Linked DNA regions of Mytilus edulis. The protein of the gene in region 2 purifies or fractionates together with the protein of the main gene of each other region. This does not show direct contact. Links are inferred from orthologs where the notes say so. Each region holds a gene or a part of one and is shown on either strand. Other genes may lie near its edges. The genes, in order: paired amphipathic helix protein Sin3a-like, protein max-like and max-binding protein MNT-like.

What was found.
Region 1: the proteins of protein max-like (region 2) and paired amphipathic helix protein Sin3a-like purify together in Homo sapiens (affinity purification with mass spectrometry; 3 studies listed by BioGRID and IntAct, with this or other methods). This does not show direct contact. The link is inferred for Mytilus edulis from reciprocal best matches to the Homo sapiens genes MAX and SIN3A.
Region 3: the proteins of protein max-like (region 2) and max-binding protein MNT-like purify together in Homo sapiens (affinity purification with mass spectrometry; 7 studies listed by BioGRID and IntAct, with this or other methods). This does not show direct contact. The link is inferred for Mytilus edulis from reciprocal best matches to the Homo sapiens genes MAX and MNT.

What each region holds. Positions count from the first base shown.
Region 1 is NC_092354.1:81,250,096-81,258,068, forward strand, and holds the start of paired amphipathic helix protein Sin3a-like, read right to left. Parts: upstream 3,348-7,973; 5' UTR 2,977-3,347; intron 590-2,976; 5' UTR 553-589; coding exon 529-552; intron 1-528. UniProt on the Homo sapiens protein: Acts as a transcriptional repressor. Corepressor for REST. Interacts with MXI1 to repress MYC responsive genes and antagonize MYC oncogenic activities. Also interacts with MXD1-MAX heterodimers to repress transcription by tethering SIN3A to DNA.
Region 2 is NC_092346.1:5,090,881-5,098,881, reverse strand, and holds the start of protein max-like, read right to left. Parts: upstream 3,156-8,001; 5' UTR 3,053-3,155; coding exon 3,014-3,052; intron 2,876-3,013; coding exon 2,825-2,875; intron 1,398-2,824; coding exon 1,275-1,397; intron 1-1,274. UniProt on the Homo sapiens protein: Transcription regulator. Forms a sequence-specific DNA-binding protein complex with MYC or MAD which recognizes the core sequence 5'-CAC[GA]TG-3'. The MYC:MAX complex is a transcriptional activator, whereas the MAD:MAX complex is a repressor.
Region 3 is NC_092349.1:3,785,920-3,793,741, forward strand, and holds the start of max-binding protein MNT-like, read right to left. Parts: upstream 3,016-7,822; 5' UTR 2,801-3,015; coding exon 2,734-2,800; intron 2,486-2,733; coding exon 2,356-2,485; intron 705-2,355; coding exon 663-704; intron 1-662. Other genes in the region: transmembrane protein 248-like, read left to right, coding at 6,100-6,249, 6,804-6,970, 7,516-7,631. UniProt on the Homo sapiens protein: Binds DNA as a heterodimer with MAX and represses transcription. Binds to the canonical E box sequence 5'-CACGTG-3' and, with higher affinity, to 5'-CACGCG-3'.

The DNA.
Region 1 (7,973 bases), on a different chromosome or scaffold from region 2:
CATTTTAATCATTTGGACTTGCAACTTCATAAATCAGTCTGTCTTAAACAAATTTAAATCTTAATCATGAAATAGTGAGGAAATATTTTTATCTTTTTGTGGTTAAAAGTAAAGACTGATAGAAGCAGACGTGTCCAGAGAGATGATCAACCTTCTATAGAAATGCCTTCAAGGTTCTTATATAGTTAACAGGCTGACTAACTAGCTAAGGGTTAGTAAATATTTATCTTTTATCGGTTGTCATCTCAACAAATTGATTTCCTCGATTGAGTCGGTACGGCGAAAGTGAGAAAAGTAATTGAGTTGAGATTACCAAGGATAATCTGTTTATCCCTATTTCAATTTTTACTTATGACGAAGCTGTTTATTTCATTGAGAACGACATGTGCGCGCTTAGTTTCTACTGATAATTTTTCATATTGCACTTCTCTGCTGAGAAAGGAAATTATCAGTCAGTAAGGTCAAATGAAAATTTGGTAAAAAGTGATAATTATAAATATTATATATACATTGAATCTGATCACTAACCTGTTCGTCAACTCTTCGCTGCATTATTTGTACACCTGTATAGTTAGGATAGGATGTATACCTGTCAAACAAAACCATTTCATTAGTATATAATGTTCATTATTAAATTGACAAGCACATATGTTTTTGTACCAATAATATAAGTTATGCCAAAAAAAAATAATAAGGTAGATATAATAGATTAGCAATTGCAATTTCTTTTCAATTTCATTAACAAAATCAGGGAAATCACATATTTTTCCAAAGCAATCCCAATTACACTAAAATCAGTTAACTTGTGCATGGAACTTAATTTATTTCCAAAGGAAAATTCATTTGGTTTATATGAGAACAAAATTTTTTTACACTAAATTATCCAGTTGAAATTGATTTTTTTCTACTAAATTAATGTGGGTTAAATCAGAAAACTAGAATTCAGTGACTCTTAGATCACATTGCTTGTAGAAACTCTTTGTTCCTTACGTCGTAACTACAATCCCCTTCCCTTTCATGAATGTGACCTACCGAATTAGACTATTTACCGGATTTGTTATCACATAAGCAACATGACGGGTGCCACATGTGTAGGATCTACTTACCCTTCCGAAGCACCTGAGATCACCCCTAGTTTTTAATGGGGTTTGTGTTGTTTATTCTTTAGTTTTCTATGTTGTGTCATGTGTATATTGTTTGTCTGTTTTGTCTTTTTCGTTTTTAGCCATGGCGTTGTCAGTTTATTTTAGATTTATGAGTTTCACTGTCCCTTTGGTATCTTTCGTCCCTCTTTTACAAATAAATTTAAAATTTAAGGTCCTAAATTAGATCCCAATTGCAATGTCACCTATATTTTATGTTTCATATAACTTTTGTTTGTAGCATTATATTAAAATCTTAAAAGATTTTTTATCACATGGACCAAAAAATATATATCAAAGTTTAAAGGTTATTAAGGTGAATAACTCTGGAACGGAAATGTCAATACCATGAAAATTGAACTCGACATGTAGTTTATGATTGATGACACTATGTTATAATTGCCTTAAGATTTGGTCACACAGTAATATTATTATCATCTGAAATCCAAGGAAATACATTTATCAACATTTACAGTAAGGGACATAACTCTTGAATGGAACATGTTTAAAATATTCAATACTAATATAACTTGACCTGTATTTTATAGTATAAATTATTTCAATTTAAATATGAATATCATAGATGTAAATGAACGATAGGTGTCTCCCGGATTCATTTACTTTTGATGTTTACTTTATAAGCTGTAAAAAACATGTTTTGATTATGATCAAGATTGACAAATTCTGTAAAACAAACTGATGCCAGAAAATAAAATGGACAGAAAGTCGTAAAATTGAGAAAGACAAAAAGGTGAAATTAATTTAGTTTACAATTGTTTGAATCATATAATAGAAAGTTCTTAAAAAAACTTTTTATCAAACAAATTCGTTTTACAGTTTATGAAATTGTTCAAAAGCTTTGATAAATGAAAAACAGTCAATTTCAAATCTTGCAATCAATATTATTTCTCAATCTTTGCATAAGAAGATATTCAAGAGTTAATAAAAGTACAAGTGTTGGTCTATTGGTGGATATTTGCCTCATTAGCAATCTCACCAGATCTATTTATTTTTCTATAAATATAGCTGTTTTACTCATAATTGCAACGTGAACATCAAACACTATTTACAGTCTCTTTTGCTTGTTTATGAGAGTTGTCTCATTGACATTCCTACCACATCTTCTTAATTTTACAAGATACATGTATTTTTGGTTGCGTCTTCTTAACATTACTGCTGTTTTTATTTTATCAGGGTCTAGATGATACTCTTTTTTGCCATTTGTCCGCAATTAGTGCACATCACAAAATCCCGTTAAATTATACGTCATAATAGACAATATATGACGCCACAACGGAAAAGCGGGACAGATTTTTAAACAGCAAGGAGTATTCGTAAGACTTCTAACACAACAAAGCAAGAAGAAACAAAGGGACCAAATTATCAACATCAAAGTTGTGAGCACATGCTTACAGAAAAAGATGAAGAACCCCTCACAAAACCTTATGTGGAAACCTTAAGATAATATCAATATGATAAAGTATTGTGTTGTTAAACAGTAAATACTAGCTCAATTTGTTATTGACCGTCAATAAATTTTCAAACCACAGAAAGGGGGAGGGGGCCGAGACAATTTTTTTTGTAAAAAAAAAAATAAAAGTTTTTGTTTGTTTTAATTTTACAAATGTTATGTTATGTGCTTTGTTATATAGTGATTACGTTGAAGAATAAATACAGAACAAGCAACGCCTTTCCCGCGGATATTTTTAGCACACACTGTTTCATCATGGCCGACATTGGTTTTCAAACATCAGTTTATGTTTCCACCCAAATTTCAAAATCCTATATTTGTTTTGGTTGACCAGTAGTGTTTTCTAATGCAATGAAAGCTTACCTTTCCTAACGTATATAACACATAAATTGGAATTTCCTAAATCATTAACAAATTAACATTTTCCACAGCTGTGTATCACCGACGTACTTGTCGGCCGTATAAACAACTGCCTGCCTTCCCCTGTGTGTAATTTCAGTAGACTCGTCCTAACACATATGTAAAGGTGCGTGTCTCGGTAGTATTTTTATCGATACATGCCCTTGACATCTTAAAAAAAGTTAATGTATACAAAATTAGGGATTGTAATATAAGGTTCATTTACAATTGTAAACCATCTGTTACTATTTTATATTAAAGTGGTAAAACGACCGAAAGACGCGCGCCTGTTTAAATGATCGTGTTCCGAATGAAAACACACAAAACACCTGTGTGAGTCATGACCTAGATACATTTATTCTTCGCGGAGAGAAATCGTTTTGAAAATTTATTTTTTAACCATTTGTTAAAAATTTATATATTCTACTTTGAATAAAAAGAGCATTAGACGAATATTCATTGTAAATCCTCAAACATCAGTACGGGTAATACAAGAATATTTCAAAAAGGGTTCTGTGTTCATACATAGACGAGTCCATTTTTAACAACATACACAAGAAACGTGTACTAGAGTACTATCATCAGACACCTCTTTCGGTTTAGTTTACAACTTCATACAAAATTGACGTGAATTATTGTTAAAAAATACAGATTACCTAGACTCCCCTTAAAAAATCAGGATGCAAAACATTATTTTCCTTCGTCTTGTATTTTATGATTGGCAAACTGCCCGAAATTTGGAATTCCAAACATAAAATTATGCAAAAATAGAAGCCAATCAAAGTGATGTGTTAAAATTAGATATTCAAGGTTACTGGGTTTCCCCGTGAATTGATTTAAATTTATTTGACTATGCATGATAATTGATTTAGGAAAGGGATTAGGCGTAACGGGAACGACCACGGTTTATATATATTTATAAACAAAATATATCTGTTATTTTTTCCCAAAAAAGAAATGTTCTGAATCAAAGCTGAAATGATAACAGGCAAAATAAAGATGGGAACCAAACAGTACATAATTACTAGCTTTTACAGACCACCAAATAAAACAGACAGTAAATATGTGGAGAAAACAATCACAGAGATACAAAATCTGAGAAACAACAACAAAAGGAGCACATTCCTCCTTGGAGGTGAATTCAACCTACCTGATATCAGCTGGGAAAGAAATGAGATTAAAGGTAACCAACTGCCACAATCAATCAATCGAGCATTTTTACAGATGTCAGCTGACTTGTCAATCCAGCAAATAAACAACAACAACACAAGAGGAAACAACATACTGGACCTGATGTTTACAAGCCATCCAGGACACATAGAGAGATGTAAAACACTGCCACCTATAGGAAATAGCGACCACGACATATAGTATTAGTGGACATATCAGCAAATGTCAACAAACTGAAACCATCAAAGAGAAAAATATACCTATGGAAGAAAGCAGACTTGGAGAGTATAGGGAAACACCTTGACAGCCAATTTGATACTTTCAAAAAGACAAACTTTGATGACATTAACAACATGTGGACATCAATTAAACAAATTATAAAGGATTCCATGGAAAAACACGTACCAACAAAAACATCACTTGCTAGACAGAGCCATCCCTGGATGAATACCAACTAAGACGTCTAAGCAAACAGAAGCAAAGAGCTTACTCTAAAGCTAACCACACCAACTCAACAAAGGACTGGAAGCGGTATAAAAACATTAAAGCTGAACTTCAAAGAGAGTCTAGACGAGCGCATACAAAATTCATGCAAAACATAGTCAGTGATGATTTATACAAGAACCCTAAAAGATTTTGGTCATACAAAAAGAGTAGGAAACAGGAATCGTCAGGAATAACAACCCTAAAAAATAAAGATGGATACCTACATAGCGACACACCAACAAAAGCTGCTATACTAAACACTCAATTCCACTCAGTATACACCCAAGAAGACCTAAACAACATGCCAGATAAAGGGCCGAGTCCATATCCAACCATGAGACTAATAAACATCAGCCAGAATGGTGTCACTAAGCTACTTAGAGGACTAAGACCGTTCAAGGCAACTGGCCCGGATGACATACCAGCCTTCATCCTAAAGAATATGGCTGATCAACTTTCACCTTACCTGACCAGACTGTACCAACTGTCAATGGACCAGGGATCAGTACCAGAAGATTGGAGGACAGCCAACATAGTCCCAGTCTTTAAGAAAGGGGAAAAGCATACAGCTGCAAACTACCGTCCAGTTTCTTTGACATCCATCTCATGTAAGCTACTGGAACACATAGTACACAGCTCTATAATGGACCACTTTGACCAAAACAACATACTCTGCGATGAACAACATGGGTTTAGAACCAAACGGTCATGCGAGTCTCAGCTGGTAATAACTATACATGAAATAGCTAAAAACATAGAGGACGGCGACCAGACAGACATCATCCTGTTAGACTTCGCCAAGGCCTTTGATAAGGTACCACACGCCAGACTTCTTCGTAAAATGGATTATTACGGGGTAAGAGGTCCCCAGCTGGAATGGATTAAACAGTTTCTGTCTAACAGAACTCAGTCTGTGATCCTTGAAAACCATAAGTCGGACCCTCTTGACGTGGTATCTGAAGTACCCCAGGGCACTGTGATGGGCCCCTTACTCTTTCTGGCCTACATCAATGACCTCCCTGAAGCAACAACATCAAGCGCTAGACTGTTTGCTGATGACTGTCTACTCTTCCGCCGCATTAGGAATACAGCAGATGCAGACTTGCTGCAAAAAGACCTAACCTCGCTGGAAAAATGGGAAAAGGAGTGGCAAATGTGTTTCCACCCGGAGATATGCACAGTCATCCGTGTCTCAGGACGACGTCATCAACACCAGACGTCCTACACACTCCATGGACACACATTAGAGACAATAGACAGCGGGAAATACCTGGGGCTCACTATCAACAAAGACCTCACCTGGACAAACCATATCAACCAGACCATAGGGAAAGCCTCAAAGACACTTGGCTTCTTACGGAGAAATCTTGGTAGGTGTACTCCAGCAACAAAAGCCACAGCCTACTCTACGCTCGTAAGACCAACCCTGGAATATGCCTCCCCAGTATGGGATCCTCACCAAATCACCACCATACGCGACATAGAGCAGGTACAAAGACGAGCAGCTCGCTTTGTTTATAGTTGCTACCAGGACAACTCTCCTGGATGTGTAACTAAGCTACTGGACCAACTTCAATGGGAATCACTGCAACACAGACGATGGAAACAGAGTCTTGTGTTGTGTTACAAGACTCAACATCAGATGATTGCCATTGATCCAGCCAAATACTACACGACAGGAGACAGTAGGACCAGGGGCAACCACAAACTTAGACAAACTAGAGTGAAGAGGGACGTATACTACCACTCATTCTTCCCACCAACAACTAGAGAATGGAATAAACTCCCCGAATCTGTAGTGGAGTCCGGATCCCTAGAGGACTTCAGGGCCAGAGTGAATACCATCCCCTGGACCCAGCCACATCTGAAATAGACAGCAGGATAACCAGTGTACAAAGATGTAATTAATATCATATTTTTATTGTAAATACTGTCCAGATTATTTCCTGGACTTTTACTTTTGGCCAGAGGAGTGGCCTCCTGTCTGTTTGAGATGCGCCCGAGTCAATTACACTTTACTACAGAGTTCGACTCGTAACGGGAAGAAGAAGAAGAAGAAACCTTTTCAAAGCAATAACCAAGGATTCGTATTACCAGAGGCGGATTTAGGGGGGGGGGGGCAGGGGCCCGGCCCCCTTTTTGGGATACATTTTGGTTGCTTATAAAGGGAATCAATGAAGCGTGACTGGAGCGGGCCCCCTCTTAGGCCAGTCATTGGGCCCCCACTTATAACATGTATAAAAATTTCTGGATCCGCCACTGATCACAGGCACTTGTCTCATTAATTCCCCCTCCTAAATATACCTTTCAAAATATATTAAGGTATATACTCAGGAAGTGAAAAGTAAGATAGATTGACTAAAGATTTATGCTTTGTAAATAGTGTCTTGGTCATATTTTTGCGATTAAAAGTTTCTATCCATCTAATATATTAGTTTCCAAGATAATCTCCGAAAATGCTACAAAAAATAATAAAATGGAAAATTGTCATTAAAGGACAAGTCGACTGACGATCTTGGACTTAAATTTGTAAATATTGTCTTGCTGATCATATATGTTTGTATTTAAAGTTTATATCTATCTTATTCTACCATGTAAAATAGTTTCCAAGGATTTGTATATAGTGACACATTTTTGACATGCTGTTTCAGTCAGTGGAGAATAGTTTTGGTCGTGCAGTTTGTTAAAATTAAATTGACCCGATAGTTTCAGACAGCATTGCAGTAGTAAATAAATGTTGCTCATCTGGTAGATAGAAGATAAGACTGGACTTTACAGGTAGTAGCTCTACTAGCTGTTATACTAAACTTCAGTAGTTGAACTATGTGGTATGGGCTTTGCTCATTGTTGAAGGCCGTACAGTGACCTATAGTTGTTAATTTTTGTGTCATTTTGGTCTCTTGTGGAGAGCTGTCTTATTGGCAATCATACCACATCTTCTTTTTTATGTATTGAGTAGTTAAACTAGATGTGATTCAATTGGTAGAGTAAACAATTTTAACTGTTTTTTTTTTGTTTTTTTTTATACTTTTTTAACTTAAGTTGCAACACTGTCCAAGGTTAGAGGAGGGTTGGTGCCTTCAAACGAATTTAACCTCGATACTTTCTGTATGTATGTGTCTGTCCCAAGTCATGCAGGAGCCTTCAATTCAGTGATTGTAGTTTGTTGCTTTGTAACACAACTGATTTAAATTCGGATTTCTTGTTTGAAATGTTGGAATTAGTAATTTCGGGTCCTTTTATAGCTGTCTATGTTGTATGAGCTAAAAGTCTTTGATCATTGTTAAAGACTGAACGGTTACCTA
Region 2 (8,001 bases):
GCTGACTATGGGGCCCTAATTACTTGACCAAAAATATGGAGACAGCTACCCACCAGAAAGCCAACAACTCTATCAATTCAACACCTTCTTTTACAAACATGTTCAGTAGTGGTACTAAAGTTGACAATCTGGCTAAAGCAGAGGTACTTTTTGCCAACTATGTATGATGGCTGATCACTTTATCTTTGAACTATATATGATGGCGGATCACTTTAACTTTGAACTATATATGATGAATAAATATTCGACCCCCCCCCCCCTTTATCTTCTATTTTACTAAGTAAAAATGGCTATGCAGGTGCTTGAACATGTTGAAGGTATGAAATCATTGGGGTTTTTTTTAACAAAAAAGGAAGATATGCAGTTTAAACACACACGAAAAAACCATTGCGTACGTCGATATAAAATCTCCAGTTATGAGGCTAAAACTCCAGCTGAAAATTTCCAAATCTCCAGTTGTGGCTTGACAACTCTGTCACATGTATGCACGAATGCCCCACTCGCACTATCATTTTCTATGTTCAGTGGACCGTGAAATTGGGGTAAACTCTCTAATTTGGCATTAAAATTAAAAAGATCATATCATAGGGAACATGTATACTAAGTTTGAAGTCGATTGGACTTCAACTTCATCAAAAACTACCTTGACCAAAAACTTTAACCTGAAGCGAGACAGACGGACGAACGGACGCACAGACCAGAAAACATAATGCCCCTCTACTATCGTAGGTGGGGCATAAAAACCAAAACAACACAACATTAGACATAGTTTGTCAGGACTCATATGATACACAAGTCACATGGTATGCGGTAAAGTTATAAAAATAATATTTTGTGCTCAAAAGACCCCTCTTATAAATTGTCTAGTTGTCTTAGCAATTGATTTTTTTTAACTTTTAATGTGTTATTAGATATCTTAGTTGGCATAAGTGCCATAAGTTGGGAAAGTTGCACTTGGGTTGAATGTCTTGAATAACAGCAGCCACAGGAGAGCTCTTTATATTTCTACCCCTGTATTACAAAAAAAAAATAATGAACAAGAATTTTAAGAAAAACTATAGAAAATCACTAAAAGATTAAACAAAATATTTGAATAGAAAACATAAGTTATAATTCATAATCTAAAATATTGTAAGGGAAATTCCAGGAAAAAAATTATTTTGAACATCATGATTTCTTCATAAATTGATTTTTTTTGTGTGTATTTCTATGACAATTCAACCTTTCAATAACTTTTTTCCAGGAATAACCTTATGATGAACTTGGATATTTACTTTGACTGATGATACCTTTTCTCCTTGCAGAGATGGTATTGAATCTCGTAGACTGGAAAAGCTGTCTTTTATATGATCTCGCCTCTTTCTTTCTAATGCATTATGATGAGCACGCTTTTCAGCCTAAAACAAAACAGATGAATAATTTCTACTGCTTTCATCAGGATAACAAAATGTATGTAAGAATGTTTGCAAGTGGTTTTGTTGTGTCTTATTAAATTATTGAATGTTTTTGATTGACAGCTCTTTGATTATATAGTTTCTGTTCAGGTCTGTATTCACCATTTTAATAGTCTGAGGATGATTTTGATCTCATCTATATCGTATAAACACCGGTTTATTGTTGAATGACCATAGATCGGTCTCTGATTTACCTCGTGGCTTTATGAAACAATCAGAAAACTTAAATTTTAAAGTCCAATGATTTAACATGTATTGCAAAATTTTACAGGAGCTAATTTGATTTTAAGTAATAACTAACAAATTAGCGTACACACAAGTCAAGTGTAAATAGTAGTTCCCTTGATGTAAAAATTAATGGACTAAAAAACTAACAGCAAGGGACTTGGATGTCAATCAATGGCAAATATCTTTATTTTGCACTAAAATATACACAAAAATAACTGGTCTTCAGTTGATTGTTGGTCTCATTAGCAATTATGCCACTTCAATATTTATCAAATAATAGGAGTTTTGTAATCAGCATTATCAGTGTGACTTTTAATACACCATAGGCTGATCCAGGCCCCCTATTTTGAGAGAAAAATTTGGTTGATTATATAGCAAATATATCAGGAATCACTGATGCATGACTGTTTTAAACAGACTCCCTCTCATTGCATTGTTTTTCAAATTAACTCTACCTACCTACCTGGATTCTACCCGGATTATTGCGGCGATCATTAAGTTAAAAACTTCTTTTGTCGCCTCATAATTTACTTTATATTAAATTACTTATTTTAACTATGAGCTGTGCGCATAAATAGAATGAATAAATTTTCTGAACTGGTATACATGTTGTACGATGGTTTCCACAATATTTTAAATACTTGTCCCTTACATTTATATTATAAATGTTATCTAATGTCATGTAGGATTAAACTTCTTCTGATTCCAATGTTCATCATTAATATGATTTTTTTTAAATATTGACAGATTCTGCACAAACTGTTACTGTTGAATGACTATTCCATTGATCAATGATTCTTTGTGAATGGATCATAATCTATTAAAATTTTAAAATGTTCACTTCCTCAACTGTTTTCTCTGCTGATATCCTTCGACACTGGAGACAAAAAGAAGGAAGTTGGCCAAGTGAGACAGAATAAGGTGCATTTGCTAAAGGTCCAGTGACAAATATTTCAAACAACAGATGCCAGATGCATGCTTTGGTAGGAAACTTTGAAACCATTCTTATATTGACGGATTTCATTTTAAAAGATCTAGAGGGATTCACTGTTTTAATTTTAATTATAAACAGGATTGTACTTGATCATATAAAAAAAAGATAAGTATATTCTATCACGTATATCGTTGTTAATTAATTATACCTGTGTCATAAACTGTGTATTGGCATTTGAGGATAATTCGTCATCGTCCTCCTACAAAATCAAAACGAGACAACATTGTAATGTATACATAGAGGAAATTTTAAGGTCAAATAAAATGTAATCAAGGCGTCATTATCACGACTTAAAAATATGGAAATTATAAAAATGGTGGACATAAAGTTCAATTACATCGCTTTCTATATCAACGTCCCTGTCTTCATCGCTCATGATGGTATCCAGCACCCATTCAACGATGAAACCCGTTCAAACAACCAGGTTACGACCTAAAATGGCGAACCAAACAACGCCACGAGGGATACCCACGTGCAACTTCCGGCGTGATGTAAACAATGTTTTGGATTAAAACCCGCGAAATTTGAATACTTTCGATTTAATTAGACTAGCTTTCAACGCTATCATTTTTTTTTAAATTTAACATAATAAAGTAGAAATAGGCGTAGAAATGTCACGGAATAGAAGTTCCAAAAAGAAAAAATATTCTGGATTTTTATTATTTACACAGGAATAAATATTACAGTATGTATGCCGGTTCCTAAGTTAACGGGAATAAATTGTATAGAATATTTGTTACAACAGGAATAAATATCATGACAATGTTTATAACAAAGTTTCCGTTGGAAGTTCTGTAAGGGGGAACAAATATACGTTGACAGAAATATGGTAAAAATCTTTTTCTGCTTTATAAGAAAAAATGAGTTTTCCTTAGAGTTCAGTATTTTTGAAATTTTACTTTTTAAAGACGTTCTATACTTAGACTGCTTAAACCGAGGATTTGTATAGATTGAACACTATTTTTTGCATCAAATTAGGGATCAGAATTTTATTATGACCCCACCCACCCCTAAAACCGTCTACTTTTGACCTTCCGTAGATGTTTGGTTAGAAAACTATCCTCAGTGAGTGTTTTGTCTCTTTAAATTTCATATCAGTGATGCTCCAAGAAAACAATCGGAGGGCTAAAACAAAGGTCATCTATGCCTGAAGGTAGCAAAACTTAAAAGTGTTTTATGATTTAAGTACTGTTTTATTTAAGGATTTATACAAGTTCAAATTTTTATTGCAATTTAAACTTTACTGAAACATTAACTTTGTGACATACAAAATAAGTAAACAATTTAACTATAATTCACATATATATATATACACAATCATTCATTTACAGTAAATATTCCAGTGTCCCCTGTCATCAGTTCTAATGACCTTTTGATGTAGGACCCCAATTTATATACTTGTGATGGTGTTGATGGATTGAGTATAAAAATTAATTTTTCTTCATCAGATAAATCTTGAACAGAAAAATTAAAATCCAAATGGTTAAAAAAGTTGTTTCTTAGTTCCATATTTAATTTACAATCTAATATAACATGTTTTTCGTTATCTAATGTTTTACATTTAAAAGGCATATTCTCTGCTCTCTTATTATGTATCAAATTTTCAAAGTAGTTTTTAGAGCTTGTTTTTATATAAACTTTAAATAATTAACTTATATGTTTTTTTTTTCTGAACTAGTATTTTGTTGAATTTGTGTTATATCTAAATAAAGTTCACTTAATTTTTTTTTTACATAGGTAAACCAGGAGTATACTCCTTCTGAGTCTAAGTTTTTACTAAGCGTGTAATTAAGCTTCTTTCAAAAGAGGATTTTAACTTACAGCATTCAAATCTCTTTAAATATGATAAAGTTTGTGTTTTAATATTAAATTCTATAGGAAGTCTCCCCAATTCAGCTCTAGTTGCAAGATAAGAAGCATTCTTTCTAGTTCCTAGTAAGAATTTACAAAATTGCAAGTGTAAATTTTCAATTGGGCTTTTTTCCAGAATTTAAAGCTCTATTTTTTGCTCTAAAAAGAGATATATGGGTGCCTAAATGTGTTACTTCAGAGTTGTATATCAATCATAATTGGTTTTATGAGGGAATCAAACAGGTGGCATGCCACTTTGACTGGTAAATTATTCAAAGACTTTGTGTAAGCTTTCAACCCAAATAAAGCTTTTTGGGCTTTTTTTGACAAGTTCTTAAGTACTATGAGACATGTTGCCATTGCATTTAGGTAGCACAATACAAAGATTTTTTTTCACTCCCAATCAGACAACTTTAAACTGATGTAATTCATGTCATCCTTCTTTACATTTTATAAATGAGGTACCAAAAGAAAGAAGAAAGATTAATCTTTCAAATTGTGATAATTTCATTATGACATAATTATTACATAATTAATTATTATGTAATTAGTTGCTATGTTGTGATGTCCACACTTGAATGAATTTAGCGTCTTTGTTCTTCATAGCATCCCAAAATATTTTATTGATTCTTGTACAACACAGCTTGACCTCCAAAACCGTGTCTCAGATTTCCAAAAACATCAATAGAACAAATTTTATACCCAATTGAATTTAGTGGTCTCTTATGAATTGATGTTGCAAACTTCATTGAAGATTTATGAGAGAATGAAATACAATAGGAAAAATCTGAGACACAGTTTTGGAGGTCAAACTGTGTTGTGCAAGAATGTATAAAATATTTTGGGATGATATGAATAACAAAGAAGCTAAATTCATTCAAGTATGGACATCACAATATGGCAACTAATTACATAAAAATTAATTATGTAATAATTATGTCATAATGAAATTATCACAATTTGAAAGATTAATCCTTCTACTTTCTTTTGGTACTTCATTTATAATTTTAAAGAAAGAGGAGTGGAACTGCATCAGTTTAAAGATGTCTGATTGGGGATGAAACATCTTTGTACTGTGCTACCTTAATAAGCCTAAAAATGAGTATTCTGATACATTATCAATGTTACTGTTTTTAAAATTTAAAAATGTTTTTTTTCTAGTTTAGAGCATGTCCTATTAAATATCATAGATTTTGTCTTTTTAATATTCAATTCTATCTGCCATTTATCACAGTATAAAGCTAAATTATTGAGACTATTCTGTAGCCTGTTTTAGTTTCTGAAAAAAATAAAAATTCATCTGCAAAAAGCAGGCAACTTAGTTTTTAGTCTATAATTTTTAGAGGATAACACAAGTCATTTTTAAAGACCTCTGTGATGTCATTAATGAATATATTAAATAAAGTAGGACTCAGTGAATAATATTGTTTTACCCCTCTTGTAATATTAAACATATCAGTTACCATGTTTTTATATTTTATTGAAGACCCAGTGTCATCATATAGATGTTTTAAATTCCCCCACCTTAGTAGCAATATACCAACTTCACCTGCATATGCGATATATATTTCACAACTTATTCGATATTCAAGAGCTTGCAGCTCCTACACAGACTTTGTAAAACGTCATCAGTGTCTGAGTCGAAAGTTGATGACACAAAGTGTACTATGTCAAAGAACGTCTCGTCCTTTTTCTAAAAAAAAAATCATCGGAAGGTACCAAGACCTCAGTTGTTGATAAATATTCCGTATCAACTTCACAAATCACCAATAATACACGATGGTCTTGATGTATAGATTCTGCGTACTGATGTTGTTAATCATCTTAACAACGTGTTATATTGTTCTTTCATTTGGCTTTGTTCTATTATTAATATTCCTTTTACTGTTGGATTGTTTTATGTGATATCCATTTAACATCCCGTCAATGTGTTTGTATATTCTTTCATTTTTTGCTGGTGTGTTTTGTTAATTGGACTTTTTGTGTTTCTTTGGTTCTTATAACGTGACTCTGTACTTTAAAAGATCCCGTCAGTATGATATTGTTCTACATTTTTGTCATTATGATATATTTCTATTATGAATTAGAAAATACATTGAACCACAAACGTCAAAATTAACCAATCGCGTAGTGGAACGAACTATTTGTGGATTCTTATAGATTCTATAACTTTTGGACTATTTCAAATCTCGATCTATTTCTGAAATTAATTCTTACATACTTTTGATTTTTTAACCCTGTATGCTAAGATTGCCCTTGTGAGATTTAAAATTGTTTGTATATACATTGAACGACAAATATATGTGACAAATATATGTGACGTATAAAATTTTCTGACGTCAGACACGCGAATCAATGAATGTGTTTGTAGATAGATGTATTAGTGTTCTGTTAAATTGTTCCTTTTAAAATTGTTACACGATGATGACTTCTGTACCCATATTTTTACTATTTTATTTATTATACATGTCTGTTTAGTTCACGCATCATTTTAAATATAACGGAATTTGATGAGACTGTCATCATAGTGAGAGGTTTAGCGCTTTAAAACCAGGTTTAATCCACCATTTTCTACATTTGAAAATGCCTGTACCAAATCAGGAATATGACAGTTCTTGTCCATTCGTTTTTGATGTGTTTTGTTATTTGATTTTGCCATGTGATTATGGACTTTCCGATTAGATTTTCCTCTGAGTTCAGTATTTTTGTGATTTTACTTTTTATAATGTTAAAAAGTTTCTTTCCTACCCCCATATTATAAAGTTTGTACAAAAGAGCATCTCTCCATACAGAGTCAAATGCATTTATAAAGTAATTTAGTTTTAACTATATATCACCTGATCACATGTATTCGAAAATTAACCCTTGATTTAATGAACAGTATTCTACAGAAGAAACATATTTGGAAATCCTTCATAAGTTCACTTGGTATGGAACCTTTTTATCACATTTAATGTAAAACAGATATATTCAAAATTATAACAGGGTATAAGTGTTTCCCGTTTTAATACATCAATGATAGCTATTTATAAGATTTATCAATGACATAGCACGTGTACTGATTAATGTAAAAAAAAATGTCCTTCATTCTTTTGTATGTAAATTCTTACAGGAATAGAAACAAAGATTTAGTTTGGAAGTCGATACCTCTATTTTAGCATTGCATAAGGTCGGGGTTTTTCCATGACCATTACGTCGTTACACTGGATCGATATATGAGAAGTCTCTGGATCGACAATGACTTCAATTTTTTTTCTGCCTTTCCACTGCAATAAATTAAGTAAGTTCTGAATACACATTCGCTTGCAGTAAATTTAGATCTGGTCAGATTTATATGTTTCAGTTTGAAGAAAGCTTTTGTATATCTAAATGACCAAAGAATATCAGAGAAAAGATATTATTTCAAAATAATTGATACGTATGCATGGTAAAAAAACAGACGTTTTCATCTGTCCCAGATTTTGTTTTGATTCT
Region 3 (7,822 bases), on a different chromosome or scaffold from region 2:
ATAGATGTAAGAAGGAAAAAGTGCCAACTCTCCATTCAATTCTGTTCTTTTACTTTTTGTGTTTTTTTCTGTGCATGTTCTAACTTTAAGTGTCATGGATAGATAGCCCATATCTTTGCTTCTCTATTTTGCATTGTGTACACGTTTCATAACATTTAGATGAGGCAAACAAAAGTAAGAGAAAGAAAACAAAATTTCAGATGTTTTCCATTTGTAAATGGGTGCACAGCTCTAGAACAGTAAAAGTGACGTCACCAAAATTCAAACTTTATTGGTGTTTTGCGGTAATTAGCATTGTGTACAAATTTTGAAACATTTACTTGTTTAACTAAAGTTAGCAGTTAGAGAACAGAAACATGTTATGCCCCCTCAGCACCTGCTGTCTTGGGAAGGGTTTGAACAACCAAAATATTTTAAAGTGTGGCCAAAATTATTTCACAGAAGTTACACAGATCATGTAGGTAGAAGATGAAGATCAGTGTCAAATTGATACTAAGAATATATGTAGCAGTTATAAACCAAGAAGAGATTCTGACATCAACCTTCGAATTCTTATGTTTAAAACAGCATTTGGTCAAGAAATTGGAGCAAAAAAATTCAACAGTATCCATGAACATGATGAACTTTGATAATTAAGTGTTTATATAGCATTACAAGTTTACCTGTTTTTCTCCAATTTGTTGTGAACTTCTCTTGTTCCAGCCCTAAAATAATAAAATGATGAGTTAAAATATATATGCAACAGGAGTTTGAAAGGAGTGCTAATTATTAGAAACCAGATATCATAAATGTGTTTTCCATTTGTCAATGCTTTTGTGTGCATTCAACTCATGTTTAAAAATATTTATAATTCTACTAATGACATCATACATTGTATGTCATGTACATGGATGTAACATTTGTATCATGTTTTTCATAACGGATTTAAACAAACATAACATGGTATAGTATGCTCACATGAAGGTTCATTCTAAATTTTAGAAAGCCTTGATTTGCAGTTCCAGAGAAAAATGTGACGAAATTTTACACAATTTTGTACATACAAGTGTTCTTTAATCAATGAATTGGAAAGTTATGATGTCACACAGTATTAAGCATGCTCACATACAAAATGTACAATATGCATTAGTTTAATGAAATTTCAAGAAAAAGTTCCTGGGAAAAGTTTAACCAAAAATACATGGGACAGAAGGACATAACCACTCAGTAATATACAAAAAACAGACAGAAAGTCACAAATAATAGTGTTCATAATTGTTTTAAGATCTTGAAATAAGTTCTTTTTTATTCAGTTGCTGAAATTATTCACAAGTATTGATCATGTTGATGGATAGTCCAAATAATTATGACATCTGGATTTTTGTTTTGTTTCAAAAAGATTTCCCACAATTATCAATGAAACGACACTTCTGGTGAATATAAAATATTAAAAGCGGGACATTTTGAAAGACATGAATTTCCAGATAATGTAAATCGAACGTTCCGGAAATTCGGGTCCATTGAATCTTACCGATTTTAATATTTAATATTCACCGGAAGTGACGTTTCATTGATTATTGTGGGAAATCTTTTTGAAACAAAATACAATATTTGCCGGACTCAAATGGAATCGTATCTTATTTTACCATTTCTTCTGGAAATATTTTACATCAATAAAGCACAAAAAAGGTAGGACTTTGTAACTACGTAAAAATTTTAAACCTGCAAGGCAAATTTTATGTCAAAATTAGGTCTCAAAGTTCCCCCTCAAACTCCAGACGTAAAAAATGGCTTCAGCGTTATGACTTCGTAGGAAAGCGTCCCAGAAAAGAATTTAAATAGCCTTGCCAGACGTCATAATTATTTGGACTAGTTGATGGATGAAGATTTTCGCAAATTGTATAAATCATGCAAAGGATACATTTTTAGAAACCATGAAGCCATTTAATTACAAATGTGCTAAGCCATTATTACTGTTTTTTTTAACAATATTTGTTCATAATTGATTTTTTTAATTAAATTTTGTTTTCAAAGGTGTTGATATAAAAAAGTTCAAGAAAAACAATAATTATTCTTAAATGATAAGCTCTTCTTCAAATTGTTGGAAGAAAAACATCAAAAACTGATTTTTTTTTTTTTTTTTATTTTCTGAAAAAGTTCAAGGATTGGACATGTAGTCTAGAGAATAATTTGTAAAAGTTCTCTCATTTTTCATTTATTATTATTATATGAAAAATTTATTGCACTGAATAAACGTCTATTATTTTGTTTGTAAACAATGACACGCGGCAAATAGCACGTGTGTTCAAGGTCGATCAGATCGACAATATTATTAGTGTGCAAATACACATGTCAAAATATGTCACGTGAACAGACCCTCCGGCTCGCCTTTTTTCTCTTTCATCTCCATCTGCATACTTTCCAGAGTTGCTGGATTCAGGAGAGTCGTCAGAATCATTCCCAACTCGTGATGAATATCCGTGTGGGTCCTCTGATGTACTATCACCTTCAAAAAATAAAAAAAAATCCAAGCGTCGAGTGATCATGCTCATAAATATATGCAAATTAGGTAGCGACCAGGAACCGTCAAAAATTCAAGATGGATATCTTCCTTATAACACAAAAATTGAAGCGTAGATTATCTATTGCATGAATGAATATTGTGCATACTGTAATAAAATTGTAAGTTCAAACGACAAAATGTAGTTTTCGTGTTCATATAAGGCAATTTCTGCAGCCATGTGCTTTGCTTACCACGTGTTTTAGGCTTGTTACGCCATTCTAGATATTCCGCAGCTTCCAACAAAGTTTCCAAACTCATCGCCAGAACCGAAGCCCTCTTCTATAGATGTCATTAATTGTTTATCATCCGAAATACTCATATATCCATGAGGACACACTATGTGTCCTCAAATATTTGATTGAATTCTTACAAATATTAAAAGAACATGGCGGGCGGCGGTACCAAAACACTTGCTGCCGTGCAAAATATTACAACACCACGTGGATTTTGATTGGCATCTGTCATCCTTGTCCAATGAAATTTAAGCATTTTGACGTCATACACAAACTTCAGAATCACATGTTTTGTTTTGGCTGTTCCATTTATTTAGTTCAACAAGTAGATTCACCTATTCTAGACTTATCTATAATTTTTTATTGCCGTATTACTTTTGAAGATATCCCTTTAATGTATTTTTATTGATATTATAGCATTATGTTGAAAATTAATGCCAAGTTTTTACAAACTTCGATGGCATTTCCACGTTTACTTTAGAAGTGGGCGGTTCCCCTTGGTGATTATAGAAGCCATGTGGAATAGAAATCACGTGATATATTACCTTTCAAAATGGGTTCCGGAAGTTGTGACGTTTGATGCTCCAGATTTGACAACATTTTGACAAGTTTTTGCTGCTGAAACTGGCGATAGGATGTCGTGAATTTACAGTTGATCATAAACTGTAATATATTTGGTAAATTTTTAATGAGTTTTTATTTACTCTTGTCTTTGCAGATTATTCTGTCAGTGGAAGAACTACTCATCACATGGAGTCATGCATGCTAAATAATTTAACTTTGAAGCACTATAATCTCTGATTTGGCATGTCAGAACTACGGAACAAGAAGTTAGCAAATAAAAATTCGAAATTTAAGCTGCAAAATATATTGCACACGTACAATTGAAAAGCCTTGATAAACAGGAACATATATATTAACATAGATATACTGTTCCCAGGGTATACTTTCTAAAAGTAAAAAGCTTATACAAATCTTTTTTTACCTCAGGATTTTGTGAATTAATAAAGAAAATTTTTTAAAAATCATGCCTGGCTAAGAACATTTACTGGTAGGAGTGATGCTAATGAAACTTGTACTAATCACAGGCTAGATGTTTGCATATATTTTATTACTATTGACAGATATTCTCAATTCTAGTGCCTGTTGTCAGGTTGTACCATGTCTGATTAAATTATTCATAATTGTTCCTTTGACTCTGTTTTAAAGATGAAATAAATGCGAAAAGTGTGCAATACTTCAGATGATCAGTTCCAATGTTATAGTCTCTTTTACTGTGTCTGATTTTAATCTACTCACTAAAGTAATGTGATAACGTCAGAAATATAAACATGGAGATATAAGAAGATGTGGTAAGAGTGCCAATGAGTTAACTCTCTGATTATCCAAGTCACAATTTATAAAAATAAACCATTACATATTTCACCAACCGTTGGTAAAAAGGGTTCAAACTAGAAGAGTAAAACTATATGGTTATCTTTTTAAATCATTTCACTTGCTTATTTCACCCTTAGGAAAACAAGCAAAATTATTCATGATATTACTTATTAAATCTCCACATTCAAATAAGGATTCCAGATATTGTTTTATGAATTGTATTGAAACCGAACTGTTGATTAGAAGAAATTGACTAATATGACCATGGTTACATTATAAAAAAAAATACAATCAAAAACATTTAAAAAGAACAACTGTGTAAATCAGCATCCTTTAAACATGGTAAAGTAAATTACCTAGTCAAAACACATTTAATGTGTAACCTCCAACATACTCAATATTTATTTCAGCACCCATGGTGCCCAAACATCAGTGAAGCATTAAAAGTTTATGTCATCTTAGGACTTCACCAACCCTTTTATCAAATGTTAAATTTATGCAATCAAACAGCTTCCAGAATGTTAGTTAATTAAAATGTTTATTATAACTGTAGAAATAATACACATAATCCATTTAATGAAGGTGTGAAAATTAAATCACATGATTAAATCAACTGATTAATCTGTTTATTACACAATGTTATATCGAGGAATTTGTTATTCTAAGATTAATTACATATAATTAAATCAATTTGTTAATCTTTTTATTACTACAAGAAATTGTTGCTAATTCAGTATATATAATTGACAAACAAAACACAAGCTATGTACCTTGCAATTTAATTTATAAAAAAAATCCTTAGAAATACACATTTAAAAATTTCTTTCCCCACACATATTTATAGTTTCATTATATATTTTTTTTTGGCAAATTTAGAAAAAGCTAAATACAAGTATAAAGAACAGTTAATATATATGTTCCTGCAGATATGTAGCACTGACAGATATCAAATTTGAAGATCTTATTATTGCCATACTAGAGAGTGACATTATTCACATTAGGCCATGGAAAAGTAATTGATGATTTCCCCTAACCCAACCGGGTCATTTTTTTACCGCCGGGTCATTAAATTTTTCTTTAGAAAAAAATATATAATAATATAATAATAAAAAAAAAATTTTTTTTTTTTTGCAGAGACAACTAAAAGTGTTGGAAATATGCAAGATTATAGTTCCGTTATTATAACAAAACATATAGATATAAAATTACACATGGTTACATAAAAAAAAAAAAAAAAAAAGCCTGCCTTTAAAATTTTCCCATGTTAGGGGAAACCAACAATTAATTTTCCATGGCCTTAAATAGTGATACAAACACAAATGCAGGTAAAACACATTTCCTGCTTGTAAAAATTGGTAGATCATTGTGTTAATTGATAAAAAGTGTCATAATTCAGGGAAACATATAGCCTTTAATTCTTATCAAGTTATATTTCCCCATCAAGCATTTCAAGGATGATAAACAAGAGTATTTGAAGGATATTTAGCTCTTCAGGTGCTGAAGATGTGTATGATTTTAAACTGTAACACAAACAAGATTGACTGTCTTATATTTAAGGTAATTAATGACAACTGGTTACTGGCATATTATCCAAATGTTTAGAATGAAAAGCATGATAAGTACTGGTAGCCAGTATTGTAAATTGTACAAAGGTAAATGCCAGTGGGTAGATTTATTTTCCAAAAGAATTATATTGTTGTGATTATAGGTGGAGTTATTTCCCTTTGTCCGTATGTTGGAGGGAAACTGGTAATTTTCTTATTTGACTTTCGCAAATTAGACATCAATATATGATCCATACTGAATCATTTTGATGAAATGCACATTAACAAGGTGATAAACATTTACGTGAGTGACATCGTAGAGTCTGAAACCAAGATTTTCTTGATTTTTTCACTGAATATTAATTAATTATCCCCATTATTTTCAGGAGATTTGGCTGACAAAATGACATTATGGGAGAATCTGAAAGGATTTACCAGCAGCCGTCCTCCACTGGTGATGTTCATGGTCTGTCTCGGAGCATTTGCCATAGCTTTGATTTCACTGTCTTATTATTTTAAATCTAATGACCTCTACAATCCAGATTTAACTGAGGTAAGTACATTGATCATGAACAAGTGGACAGTTTTTAGGGAGGATCACAAACATGGAGTACAATAAATGATACTACAAATATAAATATATGGTTTCTGTTCAATAGTTGTCTCATCGGCAATAACACTCCATCTCTTCCATTTATTAGTCCCCTACTGACTTTGTTCCAAAAATTTTTAAGGTTTGTTGTAAAGCATAAAAAAAGGACGTTAAATTAATTCTAACATGTCTATGATTTCAATTCAAATGGATTATTTTTTTTGTTGTTGTCATGAAATTTAAAGAATCACTTGAGCATGTTGAGTATAAACTGTTATTGAACCATGAAAATTAAATTATGAATATATTATGGCATTTTAGAAAACAAAAGTACAAGGCAGGGCTTTAAGACAGACAGGACAGGCCTGCCTTTCAATTTAGCTGCATTATAGCTAGAACATGCATATGTTAATCATGCTATTTCAAACAATTATTTTCTTTGAAATATAAAGCTATACTGTACTACATACTTGAGCTGTTAACATTGTTGATTTTGATGATTTATTATTTTTCAGGAATGGCAGGCATTTTTAGAGAACTTTGCTGAAGTTGACTTTTGTATTACTAATAATGATTCTGACATACAGATAGGAGATTTTGAACCTCCATTGAGATTACACCATATATACTCAAAGTTAAGACCAACGTCACATTTCTCTAGACCCACAAATGATGAAGTTGTGTAAGTTAACATGGTTAAGATTTATGCTTATCCTGAGATAAACTGATAAAATGTGAAGCCTGCATTAAAAGTTAGGTCTGTCTGGAAACCCTTAAAATATTTAAAATTTTACTCGTGTTACGTATTTCTTTCTTTGAAACAAAGATGAATTATGCACAATTTTTTTGAAAAGTGCAAATTTAACAAAGACTAATGGGGGAAAAATCAATGGTGGTATTACACCTTATAAAGTCACCCAAGGTTAGATGAAACAAAACAACAGTTAGGAATGCACTGAGCAACTGACAAATTCCTTGACTTATCTTTGTTACAACTCAACCCAGTTCGACACAATGAGTTTGTATTTACTGTATAATCATCAAGTATAAAAAAGAAGATGTGGTATGATTGCCCATGAGACAACACTCCACAACAGACCAAATGACACAGAAGGGTTATTGAAATTACAAGAAATATACATATACACTTAAACATTGTTTTTCATTAATACACTTTATTCAATTTAAGACATTTATATATAGATAATAATTAATTTATGGTTACAGGAACACATCTATATCAATGTGGGTGGAGATAACTCCTACAAGAGAATTAATCCACATGCCAAACAATATAACATTCCTTTACGCATCACTCAATGGTAGTATGGTTGGATTGAGAGGTAAGTTACACAGAGATTGAAAATAACATTGAAAGATTGGTTTGTAACACATGTTTCAACAGGGGCCTCAGTGGCCGAGTGGTCTAAGTAGTTACTACTGTAATCCCTAGCCAGTCAACACTGAGGTTGTGAGTTCAAACACCGTTTGTGCGTGTGCACTCAACTCCAATCTTAATTGACTACGATTTTCA